4 linked regions of the Caenorhabditis elegans genome follow. The protein of the gene in region 1 interacts with the protein of each later gene in a pairwise test. Each region holds a gene or a part of one and is shown in the gene's direction. Other genes may lie near its edges. The genes, in order: pbs-6, wve-1, acly-1 and fbxa-166.

Evidence for each region.
Region 2: the proteins of pbs-6 (region 1) and wve-1 interact in a two-hybrid assay, tested with the Caenorhabditis elegans proteins (3 studies listed by BioGRID).
Region 3: the proteins of pbs-6 (region 1) and acly-1 interact in a two-hybrid assay, tested with the Caenorhabditis elegans proteins (2 studies listed by BioGRID).
Region 4: the proteins of pbs-6 (region 1) and fbxa-166 interact in a two-hybrid assay, tested with the Caenorhabditis elegans proteins (3 studies listed by BioGRID).

Annotation. Positions count from the first base shown.
Region 1 is NC_003281.10:8,241,004-8,246,449, reverse strand, and holds pbs-6 (Proteasome subunit beta type-1), read left to right. Parts: upstream 1-2,357; coding exon 2,358-2,623; intron 2,624-2,668; coding exon 2,669-3,062; intron 3,063-3,110; coding exon 3,111-3,227; 3' UTR 3,228-3,328; downstream 3,329-5,446. Other genes in the region: putative GTP-binding protein C02F5.3, read right to left, coding at 1-559; cids-1 (CID domain-containing protein 1), read right to left, coding at 826-924, 973-1,120, 1,173-1,417, 1,465-1,648, 1,691-1,824, 1,868-2,005; Putative zinc finger protein C02F5.12, read left to right, coding at 3,581-3,664, 4,086-4,370, 4,420-4,776, 5,090-5,446. UniProt on the Caenorhabditis elegans protein: Non-catalytic component of the proteasome, a multicatalytic proteinase complex which is characterized by its ability to cleave peptides with Arg, Phe, Tyr, Leu, and Glu adjacent to the leaving group at neutral or slightly basic pH.
Region 2 is NC_003279.8:11,922,316-11,932,189, reverse strand, and holds wve-1 (Wiskott-Aldrich syndrome protein family member), read left to right. Parts: upstream 1-2,673; 5' UTR 2,674-2,682; coding exon 2,683-2,819; intron 2,820-2,868; coding exon 2,869-3,472; intron 3,473-4,742; coding exon 4,743-5,069; intron 5,070-6,406; coding exon 6,407-6,484; intron 6,485-6,654; coding exon 6,655-6,915; 3' UTR 6,916-7,649; downstream 7,650-9,874. Other genes in the region: R06C1.4 (RRM domain-containing protein), read right to left, coding at 555-702, 778-856, 1,356-1,383; fdps-1 (Farnesyl pyrophosphate synthase), read left to right, coding at 8,282-8,410, 8,920-9,060.
Region 3 is NC_003284.9:1,476,453-1,485,677, forward strand, and holds acly-1 (putative ATP-citrate synthase), read left to right. Parts: upstream 1-3,089; 5' UTR 3,090-3,119; coding exon 3,120-3,158; intron 3,159-3,281; coding exon 3,282-3,683; intron 3,684-3,810; coding exon 3,811-4,268; intron 4,269-4,314; coding exon 4,315-4,783; intron 4,784-5,147; coding exon 5,148-5,612; intron 5,613-5,671; coding exon 5,672-6,475; intron 6,476-6,521; coding exon 6,522-6,821; intron 6,822-7,251; coding exon 7,252-7,635; downstream 7,636-9,225. Other genes in the region: D1005.4 (Activin_recp domain-containing protein), read right to left, coding at 8,448-8,597, 8,757-8,870, 9,220-9,225. UniProt on the Caenorhabditis elegans protein: Catalyzes the cleavage of citrate into oxaloacetate and acetyl-CoA, the latter serving as common substrate in multiple biochemical reactions in protein, carbohydrate and lipid metabolism.
Region 4 is NC_003280.10:1,614,985-1,621,744, reverse strand, and holds fbxa-166 (F-box domain-containing protein), read left to right. Parts: upstream 1-2,696; 5' UTR 2,697-2,740; coding exon 2,741-2,937; intron 2,938-3,171; coding exon 3,172-3,264; intron 3,265-3,892; coding exon 3,893-4,550; intron 4,551-4,602; coding exon 4,603-4,806; 3' UTR 4,807-4,916; downstream 4,917-6,760. Other genes in the region: fbxa-158 (F-box domain-containing protein), read left to right, coding at 484-680, 758-841, 890-1,577, 1,639-1,851; fbxa-165 (F-box domain-containing protein), read left to right, coding at 5,282-5,478, 5,628-5,711, 5,754-5,902, 6,026-6,555, 6,617-6,760.

The DNA of each region.
Region 1 (5,446 bases):
CGCCTCCAACTTTCTTTTGTTTGACATAGATATTTGGTGGCTTTTTGTTTAATCGAATACCAACAGCTTCTAATTCTCGCTCCAAAAGCATCTTCTGTTGGTCACTCTTTCCTGCATCAAGCATCATAAGAATTAAATCTGCAGTTTTTGCAACTGAGATAACCTGTCTTCCTCTTCCTTTTCCCTGAGAAGCTCCTTCAATGATTCCAGGAAGATCGAGCAATTGAATATTGGCTCCGTTGTAAGAGATGACACCAGGAATGCACGTAAGAGTTGTGAATTCATATCCAGCAGCTTCTGAGTGAGTGGAAGTCATTGAGGACAATAGAGTCGATTTTCCGACGGAAGGAAATCCAACCATTGCAACTCTCGCATCTCCACTTTTCATTACATCGAATCCTTCTCCTTTGGCACCTCCTTTGCCTGTTGGTTCTAACAATTGTTGACGATATTTTGCCAACTTTGCTTTTAGAAGACCCAAATGGTATTCAGTGGCTTTATTCTTTTGGGTTCTTGAAATTTCATGTTCGATTTCTGCAATTTTCTCCAGAATACCCATCTGTAAAATATCAGCTTTTAAACAATTAATTTCAAACTTTCAGAGATAAACACTGGTTAAGAACCGTTTTCAGATAATAGAACTAACTTGAATTTTAGAAAAAATAAATTCATTTAAGGTGGTTCAGAAGAAAAACGTATAAAGCACTTATGTGGTAATGGTGATCACGATTGTAAAAGATCAAAGTGAACAAAAATTATACAACAATGGGGGTACAGTAAAAGCTACTGAGATCGTAAAGTTATAATTATGACGTAGTATGATACTTATTTTTTCCTCTTCTCGAACAAAGCTTCAAGTGTTGGCAATGGTGCATTTGGCATCTCAGCAGCCAAATCTGGCAACGATTCGAATGTTTTTTCAACCTGAAATTCAATTCAAGTCTGCAAAAACTGATTTTCTAGTTTTCAAACCTCTAACAAATCTGCCTTGATTCGATCTTCTCTACGCTTAACTTCTCTGCACAATTTCTCGTGATGTTCAATGCTCATTCTAACATTTTCTATAAGCATATTCAAGTTCGATTCGAGAGTTTCGCGTTCATTTGTCTCGTTTTTCAGCCTGAAAGCATAAGTTAATGTACAAAATCAATTCACAAAAGTTTCAATCAAACCTTTTAACATATTCCTCCAGCATCGGAAGAGCTTCTTCATTTTGGACCAACAGAGACTGTGCTTCTTGCGAACTTCGAACTGACTGCAACTTTTCTGGGCACGAAATATTATCCGGATATTTTGAAAGTTCTGTGCGAATTTCTCTTTCCGTGCTCGGCGGGTTTTGAAGGCGCTTCAAACTGAGCAAAACATCTTGTGCATTCTTTTTCGCTTCTTCAACGACGAACTGACTAGGTTGAGCGACCTTAAGCTCATTTTGGCATTCTTTTGGAATTTATTAAATTCACACACCTTTCCATGTTCCTTGTTCGCAACTGCGGGTGTTGGGAAGCTTCCAGATAGCTTAACTTGTTGATGAACTTCATGAAGCCGTTTGCATTGTGATGGAGTGAATATCTGACGATCTTTCCATACATTGATCAGTTTACCAATTGCATGTTCCACTTCTTTTGCATTTTTCAACTCGATTGCATGCCTGAAATTAATTTTGAGATTAGACGTTTGAAAATGCCAATACCTGAAAGAACTTTCTATTGCGGGAAAAAATTCGTCCTTGAATTGTGGGCAAGTCTTTCTCGCATTTTGGCTTACATCATTCGCCACATAAAGAAGATTTACAATTTTTGAGCCGTGTGTTTCTTTCTTTACTGTCTGAAATACAACACTAAAAAATGATACAATATGAATAAAATACCTTTAGCCAAACTCGAATGATCAATTCCCGATTGCTATGATTTTGCAAAAGCCAGGCAGAAGTCGTCTGAATTGAGGAAGGGTGGTTTGATAAATTTGTTAACTTCTGTCGCAAAGTTTGCTCTGTGAAATCTGCCATCTGAAATATCAATTATTGAAAAAAAGAAATCACAAAAATTTTAATCAGAAATGTAGATAAAGCGATGAATTGTCCTCAAAAATACCTTGGAAAAATGAATTTTCATTCAAAAAAGAGAGGAAAACGCGTTTCAATAAATTTCAGCAAAGTGTCGTATAGTTCGATGTGCGATGTGCATTTGAACGCGCAGAAAACTGCGGACTAAACATTGTAAATGACGATGTCTCTCATTGTCAGCATTTCCTGTTATGTTGAATTCTCAAATTTCGAGCATTTGTTTTCTGTATTAATTGAATTTTGTCATATTGAATATTTATATTGTTTCAACTAAATAAGTATACGCCTTTTTCAGATGACAAGCTTCACTGGAATCACGGCTGTCGCCAACGCCACCAATGAAATGGCAATGTTCAAGCAGGCAATGAAGGAAGTTGCAGCTCATCCAGAGTGGATGAGTTCCAGACAAATTGAGCGTCAACGCTGGAACCCGTATTCAATGGAGGGAGGATCAACCTGTGCCATTTCTGGGGAGAACTTTGCCATCGTGGCAAGTGATACTAGAATGACCCAAAACGACATCAACATTCTTACACGTGACGCAGAGAAGATTCAAATTTTGTAAGCCAGTATTTGTCTTTGTTTTAATAATAATTCTTAATTCAGGAATGATAACATCATCCTCACCACCTCTGGATTCTATGGAGATGTCCTCCAATTGAAGAAAGTTCTCCAATCTCGTCTCCACAAGTACCGCTTCGATTATCGCTCTGACATGTCTGTGGATCTTTGCGCAGAACTTCTCTCCCGCAACCTCTATTACCGTCGGTTCTTCCCATACTACACTGGAGCTATTCTTGCCGGAATTGACGAGCACGGAAAAGGGGCCGTGTTCAGTTACGACCCAATCGGATGTATCGAGCGTCTTGGATACTCAGCCAGTGGAGCCGCTGAACCAATGATCATTCCATTCTTGGATTGTCAAATCGGGCACGTTACGCTCTCTGAAGGATATGAGCGTCCGGAACTCACATTGGACAGAGCCATCTCATTGATGAAGGTATAATTGAATTTCGTAATTTTAACCTAATTCATTTATTTTTTCTAGGATTCGTTCCGTGGTGCTGCTGAGCGTGAAATCTCTACTGGAGACAAAATTCACTTGGTCATCGCTGAAGCCGGAAAGCCAGTCGTCGTAAAGTTCCTGCCACTTCGTGAGGATTAATTATTGCAGTATCTATCTCATTTTATTTTAACTTATTCGTATCCTCTTCCCCTCTGAAATTGTTTTACCATCCCGGTAATCTGATAAATATTCCTCCACTTATATGTTGTAGTCTACAACATGACTACATTTCGGCGTCCAACGCAAACTACAAAATAGAGAGAAAAATGCAGAGAGCGAAAACACACAGGGCAAGAACGCACGAGTGAGACACAAGATATAATGCAAAAGAAGGAGTGAGTCGGCGCTGCTTAGAACCGTCTGCGTTTCGAGTCTCTTACTTTGTGGTCTGCCCAGCTGTGTCATTGATTCATTCCTGCTTTGCAACTCGACAAGTTGGTATTTACTGAAAAATGTCAACTTATATTCAAGTTAACATCTACAATCAAACTTTGGAAGTTCTCAAAATGCGAGGACTCGATTTGCAATCTATTTTGGTAGGTCAAGCTTTTGGCAACATTTAGCTTCTAATTATATAAATATTCCCGAGATTAGAAAAACTTGAGTAATAATTATTTTGGCAATAAAAATAATATGACAGGTTATTCTTTATGTAATGGTCGATCAAAAATCATAAATACTGTATTTTATAAAATTGTAATTTTGGAATGATATTACTGTAGGAAACAACTCTAAATTAGGAATAGTACTTTTAAGCTAATGTGTTTACAAAATCCCCAGTGGCTCAAACTACTTACTCACTTTGATGTTCCACAAACTGAACTAATCAAAGCACCAAGGCACTACAATTGCCTAGAAAAGCGAAAACACGTTAAAATTTCAAATTGTTTATAAATTTTGAGTCAACTTTTTGGTAAATTGCATTTAATGAAACCTCCAAATAAAATATATTTAAAGAAAACGATTGGTTGTCCGGATTCGTGGGTGACAGAAGTTCCAATTCATCCTCCTGCACAGAAAATTCAAAAACCGGCAACTCCACCAACCTCATGTGCCCCACAACTAGTTTCATCTCCAAAATGTCTAGAATCTATATCTGCACAATCACAAAATGTTCTCAAAAAACCATTTAAAAGCATTTCCGCTGAACTTGGATTTGCTCAACCATTGAATTTAGTCGATACTCTGGGTTTGAAGCCACGAGATTCAGATGCGATGAGCAGAGGAAAGAGACCAGCATCTGTAAGTTGGAAAAATTGGGAATTTATTGGTTTATTAAAAACTAATTCAGGTTCTAAAAGGATTATTTGATGACTGGGATCCCACTGCAAATTTAGATATTCCCGGAACATCATCAGACATTCCATCGGATCCATCAAGCGCGTTGAAAGTTCCAAAGAAAGAAGTTTTAGATGAGTCTGAAGAGATACTAGATCAAACTTCAGGATCATCAAGTTTCTCATTAAATGATTCTGAACAGGCAAATGAACAAGAAAGAAATATAATTGAAGATCTTCTTCGTCAACAAATGTTTACTGAAAGCAAGATAAAGAATGAAGAAGCAAGTTTGCTAAAAGGTCTAAAAAAGGGATTAGGAGAAGAATTGGAAAGTTCACATGCGAACTATGTAATTACTTGCAACTTTCCGGTGAGTTGGCTTGAGCTTCTAGAACATGTAGGTAGGCATGGAGTAGACAGGTATGAGACAGGAAGGTTTGAGGTAGGCATACAAGCAGGAATGATGCATGTGTAGGTAGGAACAAAAAAGAATGGAGGTTGGTGGTATGTATTAGGTAGGCAGGCTTGAAGCAAACATGAGTCATGTTTAGGTATACTTCCAAAGAATTACAAAAAGGCATGAGTTAGGCATTATGTAGACAGGCATGATTAAGGCACCTATGAAAATGCCCAAGGTCTCTGCTCGATTCACATCCCTCTCAATAATAAAAATATAATTTCAGGGATGTGGTCTCAAATACAACTGGCGTGTAAAATATGGAAAACTTCGACTTCTAGATCATGCTCTGACTCATTCAAATCGAAAAATTCCTTGCAAGCTGTGTGGTTTCGAGTGCACAAATGTCCGTAGAATGCGTTCTCATTATGCAAAAGCTCATCCAAATGAACGTGTCGAAGGTTACGGTATGAAGGCGTTGGTGAGTGGAGATTCAAGTCGAATTGGAGATGGAGTCGATGGAGATATTGACCAACAAGTCAGTGATGATGAACTTAAGGAATTGTGGAACAATTGTTTTTCGGAAAGTATTCATTTAGTTGGGCAAGCTAGTGGATTTGTGGAGGGGGAGAAGTACAGAAGA
Region 2 (9,874 bases), on another chromosome or scaffold:
CACAATCAAGGAAATATTTATCTGAAAAGCTTGAAAAGGCTCTCAAAGTGATGCAAAGCCAGAACAGAGTAAAAGTATGCATCATTATTTAAATTCATGAGTTTTCAGATGGGATCTGTGGAGTCAGGCTGTCTCATTGCGGTTTGATCTACAAAAAATGCGGGAATTTTCTCCCCAGGAAAGTGTGACGTCAGTTGAAAAGTCTGCGTCTCTTTTCCCTCATTTTTCGAAGATCAAACCAAAATGGGACACTTTGACACCACGTGTCAGTTTCTTTGAAGTCAATTTTCTTTATAATACTTTGCTCATGGTGCAACGATCTTTTTTTAGGTCTAAAAGCCGAAGCCTGAGCCCCAGCCTATGCTTAAGCCTAAGCCTAAGCCTAAGACTGAGCCGTAAACCTGCACTCTGTGAAAAAATGCTCGAAGTTTTCAGTTTTCAAAAAGATTTATTATTTAAGTGTAGATGGTGAAAAACATGCACGAAGATAGAATTTTTGGTGGAATGTATATCACAAGTGCAATCTCTTTGAGTCACTCGGCGGCGTTGTCAGTTTACTTGTTGGCGTAGTTGACACGAAGGTTGCGTCCATTGAAGGCAACTCCGTTAAGTTGTTCGACGGCTCTTTGAGCTCCGGCTTCCTCGGAGAACTCGACGAATGCGAAACCGCGTGGGCGTCCGGTTTCACGATCGTACACGATTCTGGAAGACATTGATTAGTTTTGACAAGGTTTTAATCGAAAGTTTCCGAGTTTCTGAGTTTCTGAGTTCTCTTACCTGACGTTGTTAACATGTCCGACGGCGGCGAAGTAGTTTCCGATCTCCTCCTCAGTTCCTTGGTATGGAACGTTTCCAACTAGAAAAAAATCGATTAGCAAAACGGGGGTAATAGTAGGTTTTGGCCTATATATAGAAAGTTACAAACTCTCACAATGCACTGTTACAGAGCAAATGCACCCTATCCTAGTCCTAGACTACGGAGACCATGACAGTGCGAAAAGTCTCTTCACCCATACTTTTTGTGGTCGAACGGCGTCTCCATTTCCAGAATTGTGTGGCGATCCGTGTGGGGTCCCGGGTACTCAGTTAGTAGACTCAGTTATACTTATACACGTGGAAGGGGACTACCTGAAATATCGGGATTTGTTGTCAAGGAACACGAATGAACCATAGAGAACGAAGGCCGATCGGAAAACGCTAACAATTATCAGAAATCGATACTTTCTGCAAGTCGAAGAAAAGTTCATCGAAGAAAAGTGTGAGAAAGTTTCAGAAGTTTTGAGAATTTTGTATCATATTCAAAATTTGTACAAATTTAAATTTAATTTTCACCACCGATTTATTACTATACTTACCGTAGACGGAGAATCCTTGGGAAGCCATGATAGATTTTTTTTTGAAGAAAAACGAGTGTGTTTCCGCGTGGAAGACAGACTAAAAATGTTCGATCGAATTTGGCAGTCCTAAAAAGATTGAGGCCAAACGCGCGGCGGGTCTCGCAGCGAACGTGCCGCACTACGGTCGATTTTGTGTAGGTTTACGGGAGGGATATTTTGGAGAAGAAATCGGCAATTGTTGGGAAAGTGAAATGCTTATTACGTAACAAATTTGACGCGAAATATACCTCGTAGCGAAAACTACAGTAATTCTTTAAATGACTACTGTACGGGCTCGGTATTCGAAATGAATTTTAGCTTCTGTGACACAACCAAGTTGGCGAAAATTGAGAATTTAGCTATATTTTGTTATTTTTCTCAGAATTAGAACAATTTCATTGATAAATAAAAAGGACCATCTCTCCGAAACCTCGCCATTTCACGATATTTTGAATATTTTGAACAGTAAATATTGAAATTTCAATCTCATTCTATTTTCGCATTTTCCTGTATCGATTTTTTGTTTTGTATATCATTTTTTAGACCGAAAAAAATTAATATTTAAATAAATATAAAACATTTCCGGAAATGAAAATATTTCCGATGAATCACAGCGAGACACTGTATGTATTCGAGAGAGTGCAGACGCTCGCTTGCGCACTTCTCGTGAGTGTTTGCTGACGCATCCCGGGTGCACCTTGGCGCATTTCTGGATTAATGATATTTTAATTGAAAAACATGAGATTTTATTGGTTTTTCCTCGTTTTTTGCAGTTTTTCCGATGAAAAAAAACATTTTCTGACAGAAATAATAATTTTGAAGCTGAAAAACTATGTATTTTATGATATTTCGTTGGAAAATTAGGTTTTATAAGTTTTTCAGTGAATTTGTGGGTTTAGCATGTAAATGAAGCAATTTTATATGTTTTCTAGCGATTTTTCCCGGTAAAGTTACCAATTTCAGCATAATTTTATTAAAAAAGTGGCTTTTCTGTTTAAAAAACTCAATTTTATAATTTTTCCAGTGCATTTTCGTGTTTACCATTAACATTAGAGTTTTTCGTGGAATTTTCCAACTAATTTCATTGATTTTGGCTGCTCGCTTTTATGAAGTTTCCAGTGAATTTTTATGTTTAACTAATTTTTTTCACGATTTTCGTGCCAATTTCCATTAAATCCATGGATTTTTACATATTATTCAGGGAAGAAAGTGATTTTTTTTCGATTTCAAGTCATCTTCTGTGAATTCTAACGCTTTCTCGCAATTTCCACCCACATAATCCCGCAATTTCTGCACATTTTCAGCAATGCCTCTAACAAAACGGGCGGTATCACCGGTAAACCTCAGCAGAGGCACAATTCCATCAACAATCCATCGTGATGAGCTTCAATGTACTGCTAATGGGACAATCGCCAATTTAGTACGACAATTGAGCTCGTTGAGGTGGGAAATTAGGTCGGAAAACTGGAATTTTATCGATTTTTTTTTGCAGTAAGCACGCTGAGAACATCTTCGGAGAGATTTATCACGACGCAATGATAATAAATCACAAATCGAACACTCTTCAACAGAGAATTGATAGATTGCACAAGAAAGTTGAAGATTTGGATTCAAATTCCGATCAAGCAACGTTGAATGAAGCGAATATGCGAAAAGCATTCAAAAGTTCAATGCTTGTAGATCAACATATTCTGGATAGAAGCACTTTACCTACAGCATTGACTGAAATATATGCAAAATGTGATCCACCGCCGGATCTTGATGCTCTAAATCCGTATAGAGACTCTGAAATCCCTGCGCTCTCTCTCTACACAAATCCCTCGTTTTTCTTCGATTTATGGAAAAAGGAGACACTAAAAGAGGTTGCCGAACGGCCCAGACGGGTAAAAAGCCCGAACGACGGGAGTAAAAGCCCGAAAAAGCGGCGGAAGCAGCCTGGACAAGGCCCTCTCGGCACGACGGCCTATAATGATATGCAGCATAGGAATCGACAGATTAGTGGATCACGGATTAATCAGCAGAATGAAGTTTTCTCGTTCCCGGAGGAATATCAGGCTCCGCAGGCTCTCGGGCTTCAGCTTAACTTTAAAAATCAGGTAGATTTTCGCGAGATTTTTCGATTTTTTGAAGAGAAAATCTCCAAACCGTTGAAAATCGGAAAAAATCGATAATTGAGCCCAAAAATTTGAAAAAAATCGAGTTTTTTGCTGAAAAAGTGAATTTTCTATTGTTTAAAAAGAAAATCAACTTTTCAACGAGATTTCAGCGCTTACACAGCTCTTGTGCTCCCCGAGCAGGCCAAAATGTTCTATTTTGGGGCAAAATTATGGGTTTCCAGTAATTTGGAGCATGAAATTTCCTAAAAATGCACTTTTTCGCCAAAAAACAAGCCAAAATCAATGAGAAAAAGTCACTTTTTCATTAAAATCTGCGAAGATTGATAAGTTTTTGGAAAAATCGCTAGAAACCCTACAAATTAACTTCAAAAAAACTATGAAATCGAATTTTTCAACGAAGTCCCAGCTTTTCCGCTTCAAATGATTTTTTACCGTTGAAAATCGGAAAAAATCGATAATTGAGCCCAAAAATTTGAAAAAAAATCGAGTTTTTTGCTGAAAAAGTGAATTTTCTATTGTTTAAAAAGAAAATCAACTTTTCAACGAGATTTCAGCGCTTACACAGCTCTTGTGCTCCCCGAGAAGGCAAAAATTCTCTATTTTGGGCCAATATTTGGGTTTTTTAGCCATTTGGGGCTTGAAATTTCATAAAAATTCACTAGAAACTTCCAAAAAGCCGAGTTTTCACCGAAAAACAAGCGAAAATCAATGAAATTAGTGGGAAATTCCTTAGAAAAAATAATTTTTCAACAGAAAAGTGCCACTTTTTCATTAAAAATATGCGAAAATTGATAATTTTTTTTTTGGAAAAATCGCTAGAAACCCTACAAATTAACTATAAAAATCCTATAAAGTCGAAAGTTTCAATGGGAACAAATAATTTTGAAGCTGAAAAGTTATGGATTCTAGAGGATTTCGTTGAAAAATTCGATTTTATAGGGTTTTTATAATTAATTTGTACGGTTTCTAGGGATTTTTCCAAAAAAACTTATCAATTTCAGCATATTTTTAGTGAAAAAGTGAAACATTTCTGTTGAAAAACGTTTTTCATTGATTTTGGCTTGTCTTTGAGGCTGAAAACTCGAGTTTTTTGGAAGTTTTCAGTGAATTTTTAAGAAATTTCATGCTCCAAATGACAAAAAAACTCTGAAAAATCGATAATTAAGCCCAAATATCCTTCTCTGGGAGTAATTTTGAAGAAAAAAACGATTTTTTCCACTGAAAATCTCCCAATTTTTGATAAATTCAGCACCCCTCCAACATGGTTGCCCCAATCGGAATGACAATGCACCATCATCCTCAACAAAATGTGCATCCGAGCCAACAACGAGGTGGTGCTCCAGCAGCAGCTCGTGGATCTCCGAATGTTAAACGTCCGACTGAAGCTCCGCCGCCAGTGAATCTGGATCACCTCCCACCACCGGATATGTCAATTTTATCGATTGATGATGATGATGATGATCTTCCACCACCACCACCACCGCTTCTCATGAATACATCAATTGTACATCAGTTACCAGCAGAAGCTCCGTCGACGATACAGTTTGTCGAGCCGAGTGCTGCTCCGCCGACTAATGTACGTTTTGGAGCTCGAGAGAATTTGGAGATTTTGGAGTAAAATCTTGGTTTTTGCGAGGAAAAAAGCTTGCGTTTTTGCTTTAAATTGTCCGTTTTCACGACGAAAAAGCTTGGAAAAGCTTGAAAAAACTAGAAAATGTGAAAAGTCTCTATTATTCTAAGTTATTATGAGCGTTTAGAAGCCTTAAGCCTTTTTCAGGCAAAATCTCGCTTTTTCGCTTTAATTTGTTCATTTGGGCCACGAAATCACGAAAAATTGGTTGAACTCTATTAGAAAGGCTTGAAACGGCTTGAAACCGTTTGGAAAAGCTTGGAAAAGCCTGACAGAGCTTGAACTAGCTTGGAAGAACTTGAAAGAGAACGATAAAGCTTGAACAAGTTTGGAAAGCCTGACAGAGCTTGAACTAGCTTGGAGAAGCTTAAAGAGCTTGAAAAAATAGTGAACAAGCTTGGAGAACCTTGAAATGGCTTGAAAACGTTTGGAAAACCCTGGAAAAGGCTTGAAAAGGCCTGCAAAAGACAGGAAAAGATTCCAAAACGCTTAAGAAAGCTTGAACAAGCTTGGAAAAGCTTGAAAGAGCAAGAAAAAGCCTGGAAAAGCTTGTAGAGCTTAAACGAACTTGTAATAGCTTGAAAAGGCTTGGAAAAGCCTGACAGAGCTTGAAATAGCTTGAATGAGCTTAACGAGCTTATAATAGTTTGAAAAAGCCTGGAAAAACCTGGAAAAGCTTGGAGGAGCTTGAACAAGCTTGACCAAGCTTGAGCAAGCCTGAAAGAGTTGGGAAAAGCCTGAAAAAGCTTGGAAACGCCTTGAAAAAGCTTGGAGGAGCTTGAACAAGCTTGACAAAGCTTGAAAAAGCCTGACTGAGCTTGAAATAGCTTCGATGAGCTTAAACAGCTTGAAACAGCTTGAAAGAGAACGATAGTGGCTTCGAAAAGCTTACAGAGCTTAAAAAAGCCTGGAAAAACTTCAAAATGCTCGTGCGAGCTTGAAACAGCTTGTAAAGCCTGAAAGAGCTTGGAAAAGGCGTCAAAAAGCTTAGACGAGCTCGAAAAAGCTTGCGAAAGCCTGGAAAAGCTAAAAAAGCCTGACTGAGCTTGAAATATCTTCGATGAGCTTAAAAAGCTTGAAACAGCTTGGAAAAGCTTGGAAATTTGTGAAAAGCTCCAAGATTTCTTGTAGTGCATAAAATTAATTTGAAGCTATATTTCTGCAATTTCCAAGCTTAAAACCCCGAATTTTTCAGTTAAAAATTTGCAATTTTTGTCCATTTTTGTGTTTCCCTCATTGTTGTCCACTTTCCGCTTCTTTCTTCAATTCTCGATCCCTTTCAGATCCCTCCACCACCTCCACCACCACCTCCAATGGTTATAAGCTCGGCTGCAGCGTCATTTGCAGCTCCGGCTCCAAAGGTAAAGGCGCTGGAACAGCAGGGCTCTATGTGTGTCTAACCCGCTGAAAATGTGTAGTTTTCCTGTGTTTTTTGGACTTTTTTGAAGCTTTTTTAGGGACAAATTTCAAGAGAAATAGCCGAATTTTCATCAAAAAATCGATTTTCTCCCACTAAAACTGAAATTTTCAGCCATCCGCGGACGGTGAAGCTGCTGGCACAAATTCCCCAGTTGCTCCAAAACAACCAGATGCTCGAAGTGATCTTTTGGCTCAAATTCAATCTGGAATAAAGCTGAAAAAAGTGCAAAGAGCCGAGGCAGAAGCCGCCGAGAATGCTGCTCTCGAGGCGAATAATGTTGCGGCGATATTGAAGAGACGAATGGATCAAGTTATGGGAAATGATGATTCAAGTAGTGAAGAAGGAGCTGATGATGATGAATGGGATGATTAATTGCTCTCTTTTGTGTCGATTTACGCAGATCTCGTGTACTCCTCGAGGAGAAGATTCTACAGATTTTGGCTAAAAATGCTTGATTTTCGCTATTTTTTCCTTGAAAATTAACATTCAAAGCGGTGATTTTTAAGCGAAAAACCCGTGAAAATAGCTCTAAATCAAGCATTATTACCCATTTTTGCATTTTTACTGATTTTTTCGGTGAAAAAAAAAACGATTTTTCGCTGAAATTCTTGATTTTCGCTATTTTTACTTGAAAATTAACATTCAAAGCGGTTATTTATGCACTTTTAAGTGAAATCTGAGTGTTTTTAAAGTTAAAAATAAAAATAATTCATTGATTTTTGCCAAAAAAAAAACCGTGAACATTGCGAAAATGGCTCAAAATCAAGTACTTTTTTTTGCTAAAATGGTTGATTTTGAGCCATTTTCGCTATTTTCACGGTTTTTTTTTGTCGGTGAAAACTTTAAAATCGCTCAAATTTCACTTAAAACGCTATAAATAACCGGTTTAAATGTTAATTTTGATAGAAAAATAGCGAAAATCAAGCATTTTTAAGCCAAAAAACTGTAAAATCTTCTCCTCGGGGACTACACGAGCTGCGTAAATCGACGCACACTTTTTCGAATTTTCTTGTGTAAATACTGCCTTGCTTTAATTTATTTATTCAAAAATTTTTAAAATTTTTTCCGCTTTCCTGTTTCAAATGAACTGATTTTTCTCATTTTTTGCCCCTCCAGAATTGTAAATTTAAATTTCCAAGTGGTCGCCTGCCCCCTCATTATTATTTCGCAATTTTATGATTCATCAGTTTTTCCAATTTTTATTCGATTTTTTTTCAATTTAAATCAATTTAAACCTTTGAAATGTAGGAAAACTTCAATTTTCGCTTAAAATTTTCAATTTTTGGTGAAAAATCGATTTTTCCGGAAAAAAAACGTGAAATTTCCAATTTGGAGCACATTTTTATGAAATTTGCATCATTTCTCTCGAATTTACGAAAATATTTAAATTTTCAGCGGAATTTGGACATATTTCCTGGAAAACTCTTGATTTTTCGCAGAAAATTGCAATTTTTCATGCAAAAATTTGTTTTCTACGCATCGGAGCTCCAAAATTCCCAAATTATTCGAAAATTCAATTTTTAGCTTTTTTTTTCTCGAAATTTCAATTGAAAATCGTGTTTTTTGGCTCATTTTAGCTCAGTTTTCAGCTGAAAAATTCGAAATTGGGCGAAAATTTGCTCAAAAACCGGTTTTTCAGCTTGAAATTTCATAATAATGATGCAACGGCTCTAAATTTTCATTTTCTCTAGTTTTTTTTGCCATTTTTCCCTCTAATTTTCTCGTATTTTCAGCAGCAATGTTCGCCAGTAGAAAGCTGGTAGAAACGGCGTTGGGCGAAGTTAAGAAGAAATTCGTACGGGTTGTGGCGGCAAAATTGCCTGCTGATGGAATGGAATACGATTTGGTTCAGTATAGATGTAGAAATGTACGGAAAAGACGATTTTCTCGGTTAAAATGCGTGGAAAAATGGCACTTTTCACACTAAAACTAGAAAAAAGTGGAGAAAAAGTCAAAAATTCACTCCAAATTTCGAATTTCCTGTTGAAAATTTCATATTTTTCGCCGCAGAAAATGCACTAAAACCAGCAGAAAAAGTTTTTGTTTGATTTTCTAACTAAAAATCCAGTTTTTTCCATCAAAAAATTCAAAATTTTCTGCTAAAAAACCAAAAAAGGAGAAAAAGTGGAGAAAAAGTCAAAACTTGACTCCAAATACCGAATTTCCTGCACATTTTTCCGTATTTTCTGCTGAAAATTCACTAAAATCAGCAAAAAATACGCCGAAAACCGGAGGAAAAAGCAGTTTTCCAGAGAAATTCTGTATTTTTTGCACTAAAAGCAGTAAATTTTCCAAAAAAAAGCCAATTTTTCACGATTTTGGTCAGTTTTTGGCGAAAAATCCAGTATTTTCCATCAAAAATTCCCAAATTTTCAGCTATTCGACAACACTGTAATCGGCGGAAAATACTCACGAGCATCCCTATGCGTTGACACAATACGGGCTTTACAGCCTCATTTAAGAGATGAAACTCAGGAGCTTCAAGCTGTGTGTGAAGCTGCTGCAACACTTGAAATTGTCAGTTTTTAGATGGAAAATCGGCGTTTTTTGAGAGAAAACCCGACTAAATTGAAGGAGAATGGGCTCAAATGAACGAATTTCGTAATGAAACTGCTCGAAAATGCAATTTTTCATTAAAAATCACCGAGAAAATCTTTTTTTTCCTAAAAATCCGAAAAATCAATAATTTTTTGCAGTTCCTGAAAATTAGAATAACCGAAAAATTGGAATTTTCTTATAAATTACCAGAAAATGGCTTTTTCCATTAAAAAAAGCATGTGAAAATCATATTTTTCAATAAAAAAAGCCAAAAAACCAAAAATTGGAGGTTTTTTTCCCGTACAAAAACCTAAAAATCTCGCTAAATCATCAAAAAATCCAATTTTTTTCACTAAAAATCACCGAAATGATATATTTTTAGTGAAAAAATTGGACTTTTTGGGTGATTTGGCGAAAAAACCTTCAATTTTTGGTTTTTTGGTTATTTTATTGAAAAATCCGATTTTAACATGCTTTTATGGATTTATGGAAAAAAGCCATTTTATGGTAATTTATGAGAAAATTCCGGTTTTTCGGTTATTTTAATTTCAGGAACTGCAAAAAATTATCGGTTTTTTCGGATTTTTAGTGAAAAATTTGGATTTTCGAGCAGTGTCATTACGAAATTCGTTCAGTTGAGCCAATAAAGGATAATAATTTCAAAAAAATCAACTTCAAACCGCTGCCACACAGAAAAGTGGGCAAAATTCGAGATTTTAGCTAAAATCTGTGCGTTTTGAACCGCCAATTCGTTTATTTAAGCCCAATTTTGGTCTACACGTTCAAAATTGTC
Region 3 (9,225 bases), on another chromosome or scaffold:
ACTCACTTTTCAGTGTTCAGTTTTTTTCTTCAAAACGCATTATCCAGATTGAATTCTTCCCACTTCCTTTCTCTTCCTCCCACTTAGATTCTTCTAGTTTTCGCTATGCTTTGTCTAGTGCAGTTCGCTGCTTTCTGACTGACAAATCGCGTTTGGAAGACAACATTTTCCGGCGGCAGAGCTTTTTGGAATCGGTTTTTTTTTAGTTTTGAAAATTTTTGTTCGGCTCCTGAGAATTATAGTTTAGTCTGGGTCATTGATTTTTAAAGATTTTTGTCCCGATTTTGCCGAATTTTGCAAATGACTGATCATGATTGATATAAATTTTAGAACAGAAAATAATGAAAAATCCAGTAAACCATGTGTTTATCTCGATTCTTTCCACTTTACAACGACAAATTTAAACTAAATTTCCACAAAATTCCACCACCTAATTTTCTAGCAAGATTCACGTAAATGATGACAATTAATTGGCCTGGTGATTGTATAAAACCTGCTGAATTTTCAACATTTTCAGAAACTTTTCGATAAATTTTGCGTTTCGAATAATTTTATTTTAAGCTTGAACTTGAATGTAGTACGTTAATTTCTAAAAGCTCTCGTTTTTCTGAAAAACATGGTGCACACAACATCGGAGGCTAATTTTAATTTTAAATTCAAAATTTCCCTATTTTGAATAATTTGTTATAGGCTTTGGAGTTACAAATGTTTTTTGAAAAGAAAATTTTTATATAAAAGCTTTCCACAAATTTACCCAAAAGTTATTCGTTTTTGAACGTGATTTTTTTTAAACAAATTCTCGTAAAATTAATACAATTTTCTTTTTTTTTTCATTTTGAAAACTCCTAAAATATCTATAAAAATCTTGCTACCCAGTTCCACTACCCCAAATCTTTTCCTCTTTTCCTCCGTTTTCTTCCACGCCAGTTTTATCCATTTCGTCCATGACCTCAATACGTTGGCCTCCTCCTCCTTCGCCTCCTTTTCCTCTTCTGACCGTCCTCTCTCGAATCCTTATCCATTTTCCGTCTACCCAGAAAGTGTACCCGACAAGAACGTTTTCGGGATTTTTTTCTTGATTTTTAGCTACTATTGTAGTCTAAGTAGTAGGCTAAAAACATGCCAAAAAACTTAAAATGTTTGGATTTTTGAAGAAAAAAAAAAGAAATATTGATGTAAAGTTTTGTATTTTCGAATGATTTTTTTTACCATCAGTTTCAACAAAAATAACACTAAATTTTAAGACGCAAAAATCATCCCCATATAGATTTTCCAATTCCAAAAATTTTGGTATTTTTCACAGACTCTTTTTCAAAAAGGTTTCGAAAGTTTCGGCATGTTTTTTTTTTAATTTTCAGAAAGTTAGGCAATTTATTATAATTAAAAAAGAAACATTTCAAAACTTTTGGCATTTTTTTTCGAAATTTTTTAGAAACGTTCGAAATTTTGGCAGACTTTCAAAATTTTGGCAAAAAAATTTAAATTTTAAATATACAAACAACCAATTTTTTTCCAATTCTCAAGTAGGATTTTGTAGCCGCCTTCTCCATTGATCACTGTCGTTCGGGTACATCCGTATCTCTCCAAATTTATTTTCCTTATCAGTCGTTATCAATTTATCTTCAGCATGTTGTGATAAGAATTCGAATCGCACCATATTTTCGGGTGAACCTCAGCGAGAAAAAAAGTGGGAACACCACGAGAAACGCACATGTTTTCGTTTTTGCACAAGTTTTTAGCGGCATTTTCTAAAATACGGTGATAAGGAGATAGGTGATACACGTGTAGCTAACAGACCATCACACCATCTTAAGACTGACCACTCCTATAAATGAGTGGTGGAAAGGTCAGGAGCCTAGAAAGTAACTGATAATATGTAGTTTTTTTTGTAAAACAGGAAAAGCTGATGCAATTTTAAACTAGACTTTTGCATTGAAAATAGATTAGTTCAGTTAGAAATTTACTAAAAAAATCCAAAATCCAAAATCGTTCAGAAATATTTATTTTCGATATTACTTAATAGAATTTTTTGCACAGATGAAAAATGTTTGCACTGACAAAAAATGTTTGCACTGACCATTATAATTTTTGCACTGACCATTTTTTTTTGCACTGACCACAATAATTTCCTTTGTTTATAACTTTTATAAGTGATCCTTTCCTAAGCCAATGCTTTAACCCGTCCACTTTCTTCAGAAACTTAAGAAAACTTTTTTCCCTACCCGCCAAGCCCCGAAAAATATTCTCCATTCTGAATATTCAATTGCTTCTCTTCCTTTTCTCCAACACAGAACGTCACGTTTTTCTTCTTTTTAGTCGTTTTTTTTCTTCCTTTTTTAAAAAAAGAAGCCCCCGCAACTCTTTTCTTTTTGGAAAAAACGGGGATAGATGGGATGGAGAAAACGGAGAGCGAGAAGCTAAAGTTGAATCCCAAAAGGTTTCTGATTTCCATGCCGCTTTTCTCGCATTTCTCCGTTTGGTCTTGTTTTCTTAGACTGAGAAAACAAAAATAAAATGGAAAATCACGTTTTCTAAGTTTTTTGTTGGAGCTCCTAGATCTAAGCATGAGCCTAATCCTAAGCCTAAACCTATGCCAAAGCCTTAGCCTCAGCCTGAGCCTAATCCTAAGCCTAAATCTATGCCTAAGCTTAACACCTAAGACAGACCCATTTTAAAAATCCAAACACAAAACTCTTCCAGTGTTTTGCACTTTCCCGAGCTAATTTTCTTCTATTTTTTTGAATTTTTTGGTTAGTGCCCTTTTGTGAATGCACTTTTGCTCAAAAATTGGTATAAAAGAGACATTCGTTTTCGAACACTTTGTGTAATTGTTTCAAAAATCTGATGCAAAAATATTAATAACTTAACATTGCGAAATCCGGAGAAGCTAGAGACGCAGACTTCGCGGAGCAGAAAAACGTGTTGTTTACTCAAATTTCCTTTGACCGCCTGCGTTCGCCTCAAAACACTTATTCCTCTCTTGTTTTTTTCTGAGTTCCTTTTTTCCTTCTTGTGGAATTTTTTTTAATTTTTTATGCTACGTGGCATACGCTTTTTAGTATTCCCTCCTAATTCTGAATTTCTTTCAGGTAACTCGTTCTCTTTGGAACAAGTGAACAATGTCGGCGAAGGCTGTGAGCGAGTTATCTGGAAAAGAAGTGAGTGCAAATTTCCAACTGGAAAAAAAAATTTTAATTTAAAAATAGAATGATCCCACCAAACTTCTTGCAATTTGACATTTTTAACAAATTCTCAACAAAACAATCTAAATTTTATTCCAGGTTCTCTACAAATACTTCGAGCCAAGCGGACTCCTCTCAGCTCCACATGCGTTTCACGTGAAGGCTGGCGAAAATTTTGACGAAATTGCAAACAAGTACGAGTGGCTCGCACGTGATAACAAGGGAGTCATCAAGCCCGACCAGTTGATCAAAAGACGTGGAAAGCTGGGTTTGGTCAAGATTGGAACACCACAAGAGTTGAAGGCATGGTTCGAGAAAACTGGTGACAGTTATGTGAGAGTTGGTCAAACCGAGGGACGGCTTCACACTTTTATTGTCGAGCCATTTTGTGCACACACTGAAAAGGATGAGATGTACATTGCGATCTACAGTGAGAGATTTCGTGACGTCATCATGTTCTATGAGCAAGGAGGTGTAGATATTGGAGATGTTGAGGAAAAGGTTAGTTTCCCGGAAATTTTTTTTTGGATTCAAATTGCTCCGCAGTTATCATTTTTGTAAAATAGGATCATTTTCATTTAAAAAAACTCAACCTTTGCAATTTCCCAATTACTGAGAGTATTTCCAGGCTCGCACTGTATCCGTCCCCGTCCAGCTCAACGAGAATGCCATGACCCCCTCGGATGAAGAGCTCACCACCCTCCTGGGCCCACTCAAGGACAGTGACATTGTCAGAAGATTTGTGGTAGAGCTCTACAAAGCCTACAAGGACCTACATTTCACGTATCTCGAGATTAATCCATTTGTCCTTTTGAACAACCAGATTCATGTTTTGGATTTGGCAGCTAGGCTTGATGAAACCGCCAATTTCTTGTGCGCAGACAAGTGGAAGAGCCGTCTGACACCATATGGAGGACCGAACCACGTGGAGTTCCCAGCTCCGTTTGGACGTGATTTGACGTCAGAGGAGCAGTACATTTCGGAGATGGATGCGAAGACGGGAGCTTCCTTGAAGCTGACGATTTTGAACAGAAAGGGAAGAGTTTGGACGATGGTGGCTGGTGGTGGAGCTTCAGTTGTGTTTACGTGAGTCTAAAATATAGAATTTAAAGTCTAGCCATATTTGTTTCAGCGACACTGTCTGTGACCTCGGTGGAGCATCAGAACTCGCCAACTACGGAGAATACTCTGGAGACCCGTCTGAATCGCAAACCTATGAATACGCAAAGACACTCCTCTCCGTGATGACCGAAGGTACTCCGAGACCTGATGGAAAAGTCCTCATCATCGGAGGATCCATCGCCAACTTCACAAATGTTGCTAAAACTTTTGGTGGAATCGTCAGAGCCTTTGAAACGTTTGTCTCAAAGCTCAAAGAGCACAAGGTGACAATTTTCGTGCGTCGCGGAGGCCCAAACTACCAGGAGGGACTCAGAAGAATCAAGGATGCTGCGACAAAGTTGGAGCTGCCAATTCATGTATTCGGACCTGAGACTCATATGACGGCGATTGTTGGAGCAGCGCTCGGAGTGAAGCCAATGCCAACAGTTCCGACAGCTCCACAGACTACCGGACAGTTTTTGTTGAGCCCTGAGAGAAATGTAGGTTTTTAGGACCAAAAACTAGCTACGTTGGTGCGAGGTGTCATGCTGTTTCATTACGGTTTGATCTGCAAAAAAGTGCGGGAATTTTTTTCCCGAAAAAATGGGACGTCAGCAAGCTTTGAGTCATGCGAATCCAGTTGAGAAGTATGCGTCTAAATTCCCGCCATTTTCGTAGATCTACGTAGATCAAATTGAAATGGGACACTTTGACACCACGTTTGTTGGTGCGAAGCGGGAAACATAGGCCAGCCACAAGCGGGCTCACTTAGGGCCTAGTGAAAAATCGAAAATGCCCTGTGCATTCAGATCTAGTGAACTTGAAGAATCCATTTTTCTACAATTCAAATCTATCATTTTTCAGACCGGAGGCACTGAGAGAGCTCCACCTTCGCCAGCAGCCAACGCCACTCCAACTGAGCACCCACTCACCACTGCCCAACAGAACAAACTGAAAAGCTTCCGTGGACTCTTCGAGGACGACACCAAGGCCATCATCTGGGGACAACAGGCTAAGGCTATTCAAGGAATGCTGGACTTTGACTATGTCTGCAGAAGAAGCTCCCCGTCGGTTGTCGCGTCCACCTACCCGTTCACTGGGGACAACAAGCAGAAGTACTACTTTGGGCAAAAGGAAATTCTCATTCCAGCCTATAAGTCGATGGCGAAGGCTTTTGCAACTCATCCGGATGCTTCTATCATGGTCACTTTTGCCTCGATGAGATCTGTATTTGAGACTGTTCTCGAGGCGCTCGAGTTCCCACAAATCAAGGTTATTGCGATCATTGCTGAAGGTGTCCCTGAGAATCAGACTAGAAAGCTGTTGAAGGTAAAGTTTTCCCCCACCGGAAATAGAAGTATTCTGATTCTAATTATGCTTGTTTTCAGATTGCTCATGACCGTGGAGTCACCCTTGTTGGGCCAGCCACCGTCGGAGGTATCAAGCCGGGATGCTTTAAGATTGGAAACACCGGTGGAATGATGGACAACATCCTTGCCTCAAAGCTCTACCGCCCTGGAAGTGTCGCCTATGTATCTCGCTCCGGAGGAATGTCCAATGAGCTTAACAATATCATTTCACAAAACACTAACGGAGTCTATGAAGGTATTGCAATTGGAGGTGACCGCTATCCGGGAAGCACGTACACTGATCACGTGATTCGCTATCAAAATGATGATCGTGTGAAGATGATTGTTCTTCTCGGTGAGGTCGGTGGAGTTGAAGAGTACAAAATTGTGGATCTCCTCAAGCAGAAGAAGGTGACAAAGCCATTGGTCGCATGGTGCATCGGAACCTGTGCAGATCACATCACATCGGAGGTTCAATTCGGTCACGCTGGAGCATCTGCAAATGCTCTCGGAGAAACCGCTGCCTGCAAAAATGCTGCTCTCCGTGCTTCAGGTGCCCTTGTCCCCGAGTCATTTGACGATCTTGGCAACAAAATCCGTCAGACGTACGACGAACTTGTCAGCCAACAAATCATCGTTCCACAGCCAGAAGTTCCACCTCCAGCGGTGCCGATGGATTACGCGTGGGCTCGTGAACTGGGACTCATTAGAAAACCAGCTTCCTTCATGACCTCAATTTGTGATGAGAGAGGAGAAGAGTTGAACTATGCGGGAGTACCGATTACAAAGGTTTTGGAGTCGGATATGGGAATCGGTGGAGTGTTGGGATTGTTGTGGTTCCAGGTGGGAATTGAGACCTGTTTTCAGCACCACTAATAATACATTTCAGAAGCGTCTCCCACCACATGCCAACAAATTTATCGAGATCTGCTTGATGCTCACCGCCGATCACGGACCAGCTGTGTCGGGAGCCCATAACACTATTGTGTGTGCTCGTGCTGGAAAAGATCTGATCTCTTCGCTCACGTCTGGTCTACTCACCATTGGTGATCGCTTCGGAGGTGCCCTCGATGGAGCCGCTCGTCAGTTCTCTGAGGCTTTTGATCAAGGATGGTCGGCGAATCAGTTTGTCAGCGAGATGAGAAAGAAGGGAAAGCATATTATGGGAATTGGACATCGTGTGAAGAGTGTAAGTGTAGAGACTAAAATGGTTTTGAGTACCCTTACAAATGTCTCACTGTAGTTACTGTAGTAGTGTACTACAGTGATTCATTTTAGAAACATAGTGTCCCATCTCGGTTTGATCTCTGAGAATTGCGGGAACAACGTGCCCAGGAAATTTTACCATTACGTGGTGTCAAGTTGTCTTGATCTACAAAACATGCGGAAAATTTGGGTCCAAAAAAAATGTGACGTCAGCACGTTTTTCTCAACTCCCGCATTTTTTGTAGATCTACGTAGATCAAACTAAAATGGGACACTCTGACGTGTACCATCAAACCGAGACGTGATACTCTGACACCCACCAAGTGTCAGTATTGTCAGAATTAGCGTAATCCAAGTCGGTACTCTAAATAGAACGTCTAATACCGAAGAGCTCAAATATTGTCAATTTCCAGATCAACAACCCTGACAAACGTGTGGAGATTCTGAAAAGATTTGCCATGGACAAGAAGGAGTTTGCCCAGGAGACGCCGTTGTTCGAGTATGCTCTTGAGGTCGAGAAGATCACGACCGCCAAAAAACCGAACCTCATTCTCAACGTGGACGGAGCGATTGCGATCTTATTCGTCGATATCCTTCGCCACAGTGGCATGTTCACCAAGCAGGAGGCCGAGGAGACAATCGAGATTGGATCGCTCAATGGGCTTTTCGTTTTGGGTAGATCTATTGGATTTATCGGTCACTACTTGGATCAGTCGCGTCTGAAGCAGGGATTGTACCGTCATCCATGGGATGATATTTCCTACATTATGCCGGAGAGCAACTTGGTAAAGTTTTGAATATAAATTGCTTAAGGTTTTACGCACTGACCAAGTTTCAAAAAAATTCATATCTAATTTCAATGATAATTATGAACAATTTTCAGTAAATTCCGCAACCCTTCAACATTCTCCTGGACCAAGCAACTGAAGCATTCCAATTTTTTCTAATCACTGTACCCTAAAAGTCCCCTATCTCCCCCCAACCAAGCAATAATTTCACAAGGTTTTTTTTCTCAACTTGTTCATTAATTTATTTCCCGTACTCTACTCTCAACTTTAATATTGCACCCCATGAGCTTTACTTTTTAGCTTACAAAAATGTATTTTTCTTGAATTTGATGATATTTATTCAGCTTAGACAATAAAGCATGGTATAGTATGGAATTTTCTGGAACTTAAGAAATGCTAAGCCAAAAAAATTTAGCACGGGCCTTTTTTTTTAGCTTTCTTTTGTGTTCAAAAACTTATATAACTAAAAAAAGGTTTAAAATACAGGTTTTTACCCAAAAATTTCGGCCGAAATATGTATTTTTAGATTGTTTTAATGAAAAAAAAACTCTTATTTTTTAAATGAAAAAACCATCTCAATCGCAATTTCTTGAGTTTTGAACCTAGTACAAAAATGAACCGAAACACTTTCCAACGGTAATTTTAGGGGTTCAGAGCTGAATTCTGTCCCTGAAATTTTTGTGGTGACCTAGTCTTAACATAGGCCTTAAACAGGCCTCATCTGGAAATTGGATTTTCAGGCTTAAAAATTATGGAAAGGTTTAAACGAGAGGCTCTGAAAATTGACTTTTTATTTTGTCAATTTTTTATTATTTAAATTTTCAAAATAGGAAAAAGAACATGCAAAAAACATATATTGCTGAAAAAGTAGTAAAGCTCTGTCCTGATAAATTGCAGAAATCGTAATTACAGCAACACGCTTTAACATCAACATCACCAAGCTTTTCCTTTTGACAGCTCACTCCGTTGGTCTGAAACTTATTATATTTTTTGTAGACCTCTCAGCAGTTTTGAAAACGCTTTTGGCTTGAATTTTTACTAAAGTTAGCTAAGATCAAATGAGCAAAATTACTTAACCAACGCTGAACACATTTGAAAACTCAAAATAATATGTGCTATTAAAAACTTACATCACAATTTGTAATAGACACTGTCGGATCGGGACACGTTCCATTGAACACTGTGAAATAAGATGCTTGCTCAGAAAGCGTCAAACAATAAAGGCCATTGCAGGTGATAGCTGTCTGAAATTTCATTGTTATAGTTATGATTGAAAGGTTGGAGCCCGTTTCAGTTTTCTGGTGGCACTTGTTTCAGTTTAAGCCTTGTTCAAGCCGGGGACCAAGGCCTATAATCCAGTCCTCTAATGCTCCACTTCCAGATTAAGGCTGGATAGATTTAGGGGAGCTTGAACTTGTGATTTATGAATTGGTAGAGGTCCCTCTCAAAATTGAATAAAAAGAGTAATGAAGTAAACGTTTTTTTCAACAATTGCACTGACCAACAACAACTCAATTTAGTTAATACATTTTTTATAGTAATATAAATGTTCAAAATTAATTATTTTTTCAAACAACTTTTCATTTTCCTTACCTTACC
Region 4 (6,760 bases), on another chromosome or scaffold:
TTTGAATTCTCCAAAACACCCATTGATCGATAAAGTAGTTTTTTTTTTTGCTTTAGTCGAGTTAAAATACTTCCCTTACTCTTTTTCTATCTGTCTCCGTTGAACTAAGTTGTCAGAGTTGTGAAATCATACTTTGTTATCTGTTTCGAAATGTAGCGTTTTGTTATCATCTTGCTCCAAAACAGTTCTGAGCAAAATAGGTGCTGTATATTTTTATTAGTATTGCACCCGATTGTTCAAATTTGACAGCTGATATTTCAGTTGTCGTTTCTTTTTTTAAATAATTGTCAACTGACATTTGCTTCATTTTTCTATACAATTGCAGTTGATAGATTTAAATGAAGCGAAATTTAACCTTTCAAAGCAAAATAGTCGGGTACAAAACAAATGGAGAAAATACGGTACTACATTTTTGATTACCACTTTTTTTCTGAGATTTCTTTTGCTTATTAAAAGTTTTAAATTTTCAGGTGATAGTTTGAAATGTCATTATCTTTTCGAGAAAATAAGTTCGTAATTCGAGCGTTTATTCTCTACGAAGCACTTGACAAAAAACCAATTCAGGAGTCTTACGATAATTTCTGTAAAAAAGTTGGCAATGACGTCATGACACAATATGATTTTGATTTCTGGTTCTATCGATTCTACCACGGAAATCATGACTTGCTCTACGATAGAAGGTAATTTTTCAAAAGATTTTTTATCATGGAAAACATTGTAGTAAATTAATGATTTTCTATTGGATAAATTTTTCCAGCGCCGATCCAGTTCCAAAGTCCTTGCCGAACATGCCGCTCAACATTATCAGCGAAATCTTGGCCCACCTGGATATTATGGATTTGTGAGAATTTAACAAACATTTTCGAAGCATTCAGTGGAACATTTTCAGATTGGTCATGATGAAAGTGTCACGAAACTTACGGAGCGTTGTTCAAGCCAAAGTAGATGTGGTTGATTCGATTGGGGTACGCTTTTTTGAAGGAAAGAATGCGAAGATTGTTTATAACGACCGCTTCATTATCACGTATGAGCCTAAGGGTGGCGGTTGTACGGTAATCTATTTTGACAGTTATGTCAACGAAGATGATTATTTCTTGGAAGAATATGACGAAAGGAGCAACAAAAAAGAAATATTTGTGCCTGGCAAAGACTATTTAGAGCTATTTAACAAGGATCTCAAGTGTTTGCTGGAAAATCGAAAAATTCAATTGGAAACAATTGAATTCACTTTTGGAACTGGAAAAGAACTCTGTGAAAAATGCATGAACGGCATTGTGGAAGCCCTCAAATCTGCGAAAAGCTTAACGTCAAGAACTGTGAGAATATGGCCTTTTTCGTTTTCAGAACTTGCACAACTAGTGGCTTTCTTTCCAGCTGAAACACTGGAAGAAATATATTTTGCTGGAGAGAAAGATACCGGATTTGAGCAGCTGGTCAGCTTGGATCAATGGAAAAATGCTAGAAAATTTGACGCAGATGGGAAGCTGAGTGTTCCAATAGAGCACTTTTTGCATTTCGAGTGGTTTGAAGTTTGCCTGGCAACATTCACAGAAAGTGATGCGATGAAAATTCGTGATGTGAGTTTTTTTACTCAAATCTATCTGTGAGCTGTTGTCAAAGTGATACAATAATTTTCAGATGATCGATAGATCCACTCACTTTGGTCATGCTGAGATTCGCTCTAAGGATATGAACATCAGCGAACTGATGAGAGTCTTCGCTGCGCACAATCAGAACCAAAACTTCGCATACGAAACTCCGGATAAAAGATTTTTCAATGTTAAAATTTATAGTTATTTGTTCCGAATCACAAAGTTGAGCTACAGATACGATTACAACGATTGGCTCTGAAAGACTATCTCTGTATTTTTCAATTTTTTATATGCTTTTACACCTATTTTTTCACAATATATGATTCATTTTTGTTTTATAATCTTTTCTCAAAAAAATTATTGTTTTGTTAAGCGAATCCATAATATCGAAATAATTCTTACTGACTGCATTGAAGCAGTAAATATCCGTGTTCTTAAAGATGGAGTAGCGCCAGTGGGGAAATTGCTTTAAAACATGCCTATGGTACCACAATGACCAAATATCATAGTAAAAAAATTTAAAAAAAATTTCTAAATTTTATATGATTTTTTGAAAATTGAAAAAATCTCGAAGTGCATCAAATTCCTATTTAAATTACCGCCAATAGTTCGATGTTCGATGGAGCGCGCTTGCATTATTTTAACTTTTATTTATTAATTTGTCTTATTTTTGTTTGATTTTTCATTTTTTTTTTTTGAGTAATTTTACTAGAAATTTGATGAAAAATTCAAGATAAATAATAAATAAAAGTTAAAATAATGCATCGAACATCGAACTATTGGCGGTAATTCAAATAGGAATTTGATGCGATTCGAGATTTTTTCAATTTTCAAAAAATCATATAAAATTTTTTTAATTTTTTCACTATGATATTTGGTCATTAAAGAATATAGGAAATTTATTCACTACAGTTGTTCGTTTATTAACCCAGTGCATACAACTTCTAAAGCTGACACCGATTTTTGACAATTTTTGGTCAAAATTCTTTATGATTGTTGAATAGTTAACTTATCAGTGTCGAAATTAATTTTTATGATGCAAACAATCCGAAACATTTAATGTTTTATGTAGCTGTGGGCACACATTGCCATTTCATTTCAATTTTTTTGCTTCCAGAAAACTTCAAAACCTCAGGTACTAGCTCAAAATGTCTGCATCTCTCCGCCAAAGTGAGCTCACTATCCGAGCATGTATTCTCTACGAAGCACTCGGCAAAAACCCGATCCAATTGTCCTACTACAATTTCTGTACGAGAGTTGGAAATGGCGTCATGGGATTTTCTGATTTTGAATTCTGGTACGATCGATTTAGCAACGGAAATCATGATTTGGACTACGATAGAAGGTATGTTTGGAATATTTTCTTTGGAATTTCATAACGAAATCATAAAAAAATTGCTGAAACTGTTACGAAAAATATGAAGCGGCAGACATTTAGCGGGCCCAGTTTTTCAGTTTTTTTTAGCACAATTCAAGCAATTCAAGAAGAGGACGGAATGGAACAAGTTATAGTAATTAAATTATTCCCTTCCTTAACCGATTGACACTGTCTAACTAACTTCAAATTATAATTTTTCAGCGTCAATCAAGTTCCAAAGTCTTTGCCGGAGATGCCGAAATCCGAAAAAACAGAGATCAGCGAAATCGGGACCCAAGTGGACATCGTCGAATTGTAAGAATTTTGAGAAAAATCTTCAAAGGTGGATTTTGTCTAAATGCACTTATAATGATCCCAAACAACCGAATATCATAGTAAAACACTCCAAAATTGTTTAGATTTTTCATAATTTCCGGTCAAAGTTTTGGCAAAGTGCCAAAATATTAAAAAATATGAGCTTTTGAGGAAAGGCAAAGCAATGTCACATGTTTCGACCCCTACAATGTCTTGATACAAATAATTAAATCAAAATTATAATATTAAAAATTTAGAAAAAACCTTTTTTTTTTGGTCGACTTCCAAAATTATGAGTGGCAAAAACTGAGTAATTGCCACTTTTTGACCGTACATAAAAAAATTTCAAAAATTTTTTGAATAGTTTTATTATGATATTCGGTCATTTTGGGACTATAAGAGTGGTTTTTAACAATTTCCCCACTGGCACTACTTCACCTTTAATGGAATACTTTTTTTTTTTTTTTAAATTGCCTTGAGGATGACCCACAAGTGATTTTATTGTTTAATCAAAGTTAATCAAAACAATAATAAGGTCGGGACCCTCACGAGTCCGACAAAGAGAGGAAAAAATAGACCGGCATTGAGAGAGGAAAGGAAAAAAAAATGAAATGAAATGAACTTTCAGATTAAATCTAATGAAAGTGTCGCAAAGTGTTGCTCAAAAACGGAAAGTTGTGCTTGATTCACTTGTTGTACAGTTTTATGAAGGAGAGTCTTGTTCGAGGCTTATTTTTAATGATCGCTATATTATCAAGTATGAGAAGAAGGATCAGGGTTGTACTGTGTCCTATTCAGATAATAGAGCCAGTAGCGACAGCAGAAAAAAAGAAATCAATGTGACTGACGAGGATTACGTAGAACTATGCATCAAGGATCTCAAGTTGTTGATGGAAAATCGGATGGTTCATTTGAAAACATTCCGATTTGCCATAATCGCTGTAGCTACAAAAGAATTCCGTGAGAAGTGCATGAAGCGCGTCGAAGAAGCTCTGAAGACTGCAAAAAGCTTGACGTCGAGAACAGTGGAAACAACTGGTGGTTACCTACTAGAACTCGCACAATTGATGGCTATCTTCCCTGCTAAAAATGTGGAAGAAATTAGATTCACTGGAGATGGAACGATAGGAAGTGAACAGCTGGTCAGCCTGGAACAATGGAAGAATGCTAGAAAATTTGATGGAATGAGGGATTTGAATGTTCCGATTGAGCACTTTTTGCATTTTGAGACTTTCATAGTTTATTTATCGGTATTCACAGAAGATGATGCAGTGAAGCTTCGTGATGTGAGTAATTTCTAGCATTTTTTTTTAATTCAGCGACCCTATATCTTTTCAGATGATCGATAGATCAGCCCACTTCTGTTATGCTAGACTTCATTTCAAAAGTATGAACATCAGAACACTGATGGGAGTCTTCGATGTCTACAATACTGAGCACAATATCGTTTACCAAACTCCAGACCAAAGATATTTCAATGTTAGATTCTATTCGAATGAGCTCCAAATTACAAAGTCTGGTTACAAATTCCACTACTACTAATAGCTCTAAATTATAATAATTTTTTTCTAGCTATTCTCAATTTCCAGATTGAATAACTGATGTTTTTTTTTTAATTTTCACAGAATAAAGGTTATCTTTTGGCATTCTAAGAATCAGAATCTTCAAAAATCAAAAATCCTACAACACCCGAAACAAGCTCGAATTTTAAACCATTCTGCATTACATGGAGTTCCATAGGAGCGCTATGTATTATCAGAAGAATATTTTTTCCTCACTCTTAAACAACACATGTTTCTCTCATTTTCGCTGTGTCTAGTTCAATGAAATATTTTGAGAAGAATTGAGAAATCATACATTTTTATCAGTGTTAAACTCAATTTCTTTAAAGCAAATGCTCCCCAACCGGTAAACATTTTCCGGGCAAAATAGTAACTTCATTTCAATTTTTTTTTCGTTTTTGGTCTGAATATTCTCTTATTTCCTCTTCTGAAAAATTTTCAGGTAATAATTCCAAATGTCAGTTGTTCTTGGCGAAAATGAGCTTGTTATTCGAGGATGTATTCTCTACGAAGTTCTCAACAAGAAACCGATTCAGGAGTCTTACGAAAACTTCTGTAGAAATGTTGGAAATGACGTCATGTCATATAATGACTTCGATTTCTGGTTCTATCGATTTTACAACGGAAACCATGACTTGCACTACGATAGAAGGTATTTAAAAAGAAATGTTATAGAAAAGCAGGACCTATTGCTATTGGATGAAAATGCAGTTTTTCCGCGACTTTTCACCCACATTGTCTGTTATAGTTTCTTACAAGACCCCTAACAAGAGTACTGACCTCAAATTAGAAATTTTTCAGCGCAGATCCAGCTTCACCTTTGCTGTCAAACATGCCCCTCAACATAATTGACGAAGTTTTAAACCGCATGGAAATTCTTAATTTGTAAGACTTTTTTCAATAATGTGTTCAGTGAAAAATTTTCAGATTGGTCCTGATGAAAGTATCACGAAACTTTCGAAAAGTCGTTCAAAATATGAAAATGGTGTTTGATTGTATTGAAGTGGATTTCGATGAACATTTAGCGATCACCTATAATTCGCGCCACAAAATCAAATATCGGCCAAATGATACAGGTTGTGGAGATCTAAATTTTAATTATAGGGCACCGGCTGAAAATGGGTACAAGAAACGGAACTCTACATAATATCAGAAAACAAGCACAATGCCAAAATAAAATTTATTTTAATTTTTTGTAGCTCAGTACTCGCCGTTTCGTCAAGAACCAACTTGCACGTGTGGTCGCAGAATTCGCACGAGCGATGAAGACAACAGAAAAGAATTTTTTGTGACTGACGAGGACTATATAGAGCTAGGCGTCAAGGATCTCAAATTGATTATGGAGAATCAAAATGTTCAATTGAAGAAATTCCAGTTTTCGAATGGATCTAATCAAGACACTCAAAAGAAATTCATTGACAGAGCCGAGATAGCTTTCAAGTCTGCAAAAAGCTCCACAAGAACCGTGGAAGCACACTACAATTCATTAGCAGAAATTGCCCAACTCTTGCCCATTTTCCATGCTGGAAAACTGGAAGAAATTAATTTCAAACAAGGGGCCAGGACTGATGGATATGAGCAGCTGGTTGGCCTGGAACAATGGAAGAACGCTAGAAAATTTGATGGATTTTGGAGCTTGAACGTTCCAATTGAGCACTGTTTGCATTTCGAGTGCTTCAAAGATCATTTCGTAAGATTCAAAGAAGAAGATGCAATGAAGCTTCGTTATGTGAGCTTTTCTTACATTTCACAAAAATTTTGACATTTCTCAAAAATCAGACAACTTTCAGATGCTTGATAGATCCACTAACTTTGGCTATGCTGAAATCACCATCGATCCAATGAACGTCAGTCTATTGAAAAGGGCCTTTGATGTGAACAACGACAATAAGTTCGAATTCGTCTACCAATCTCCGGACAACGGGTCTTTCGAA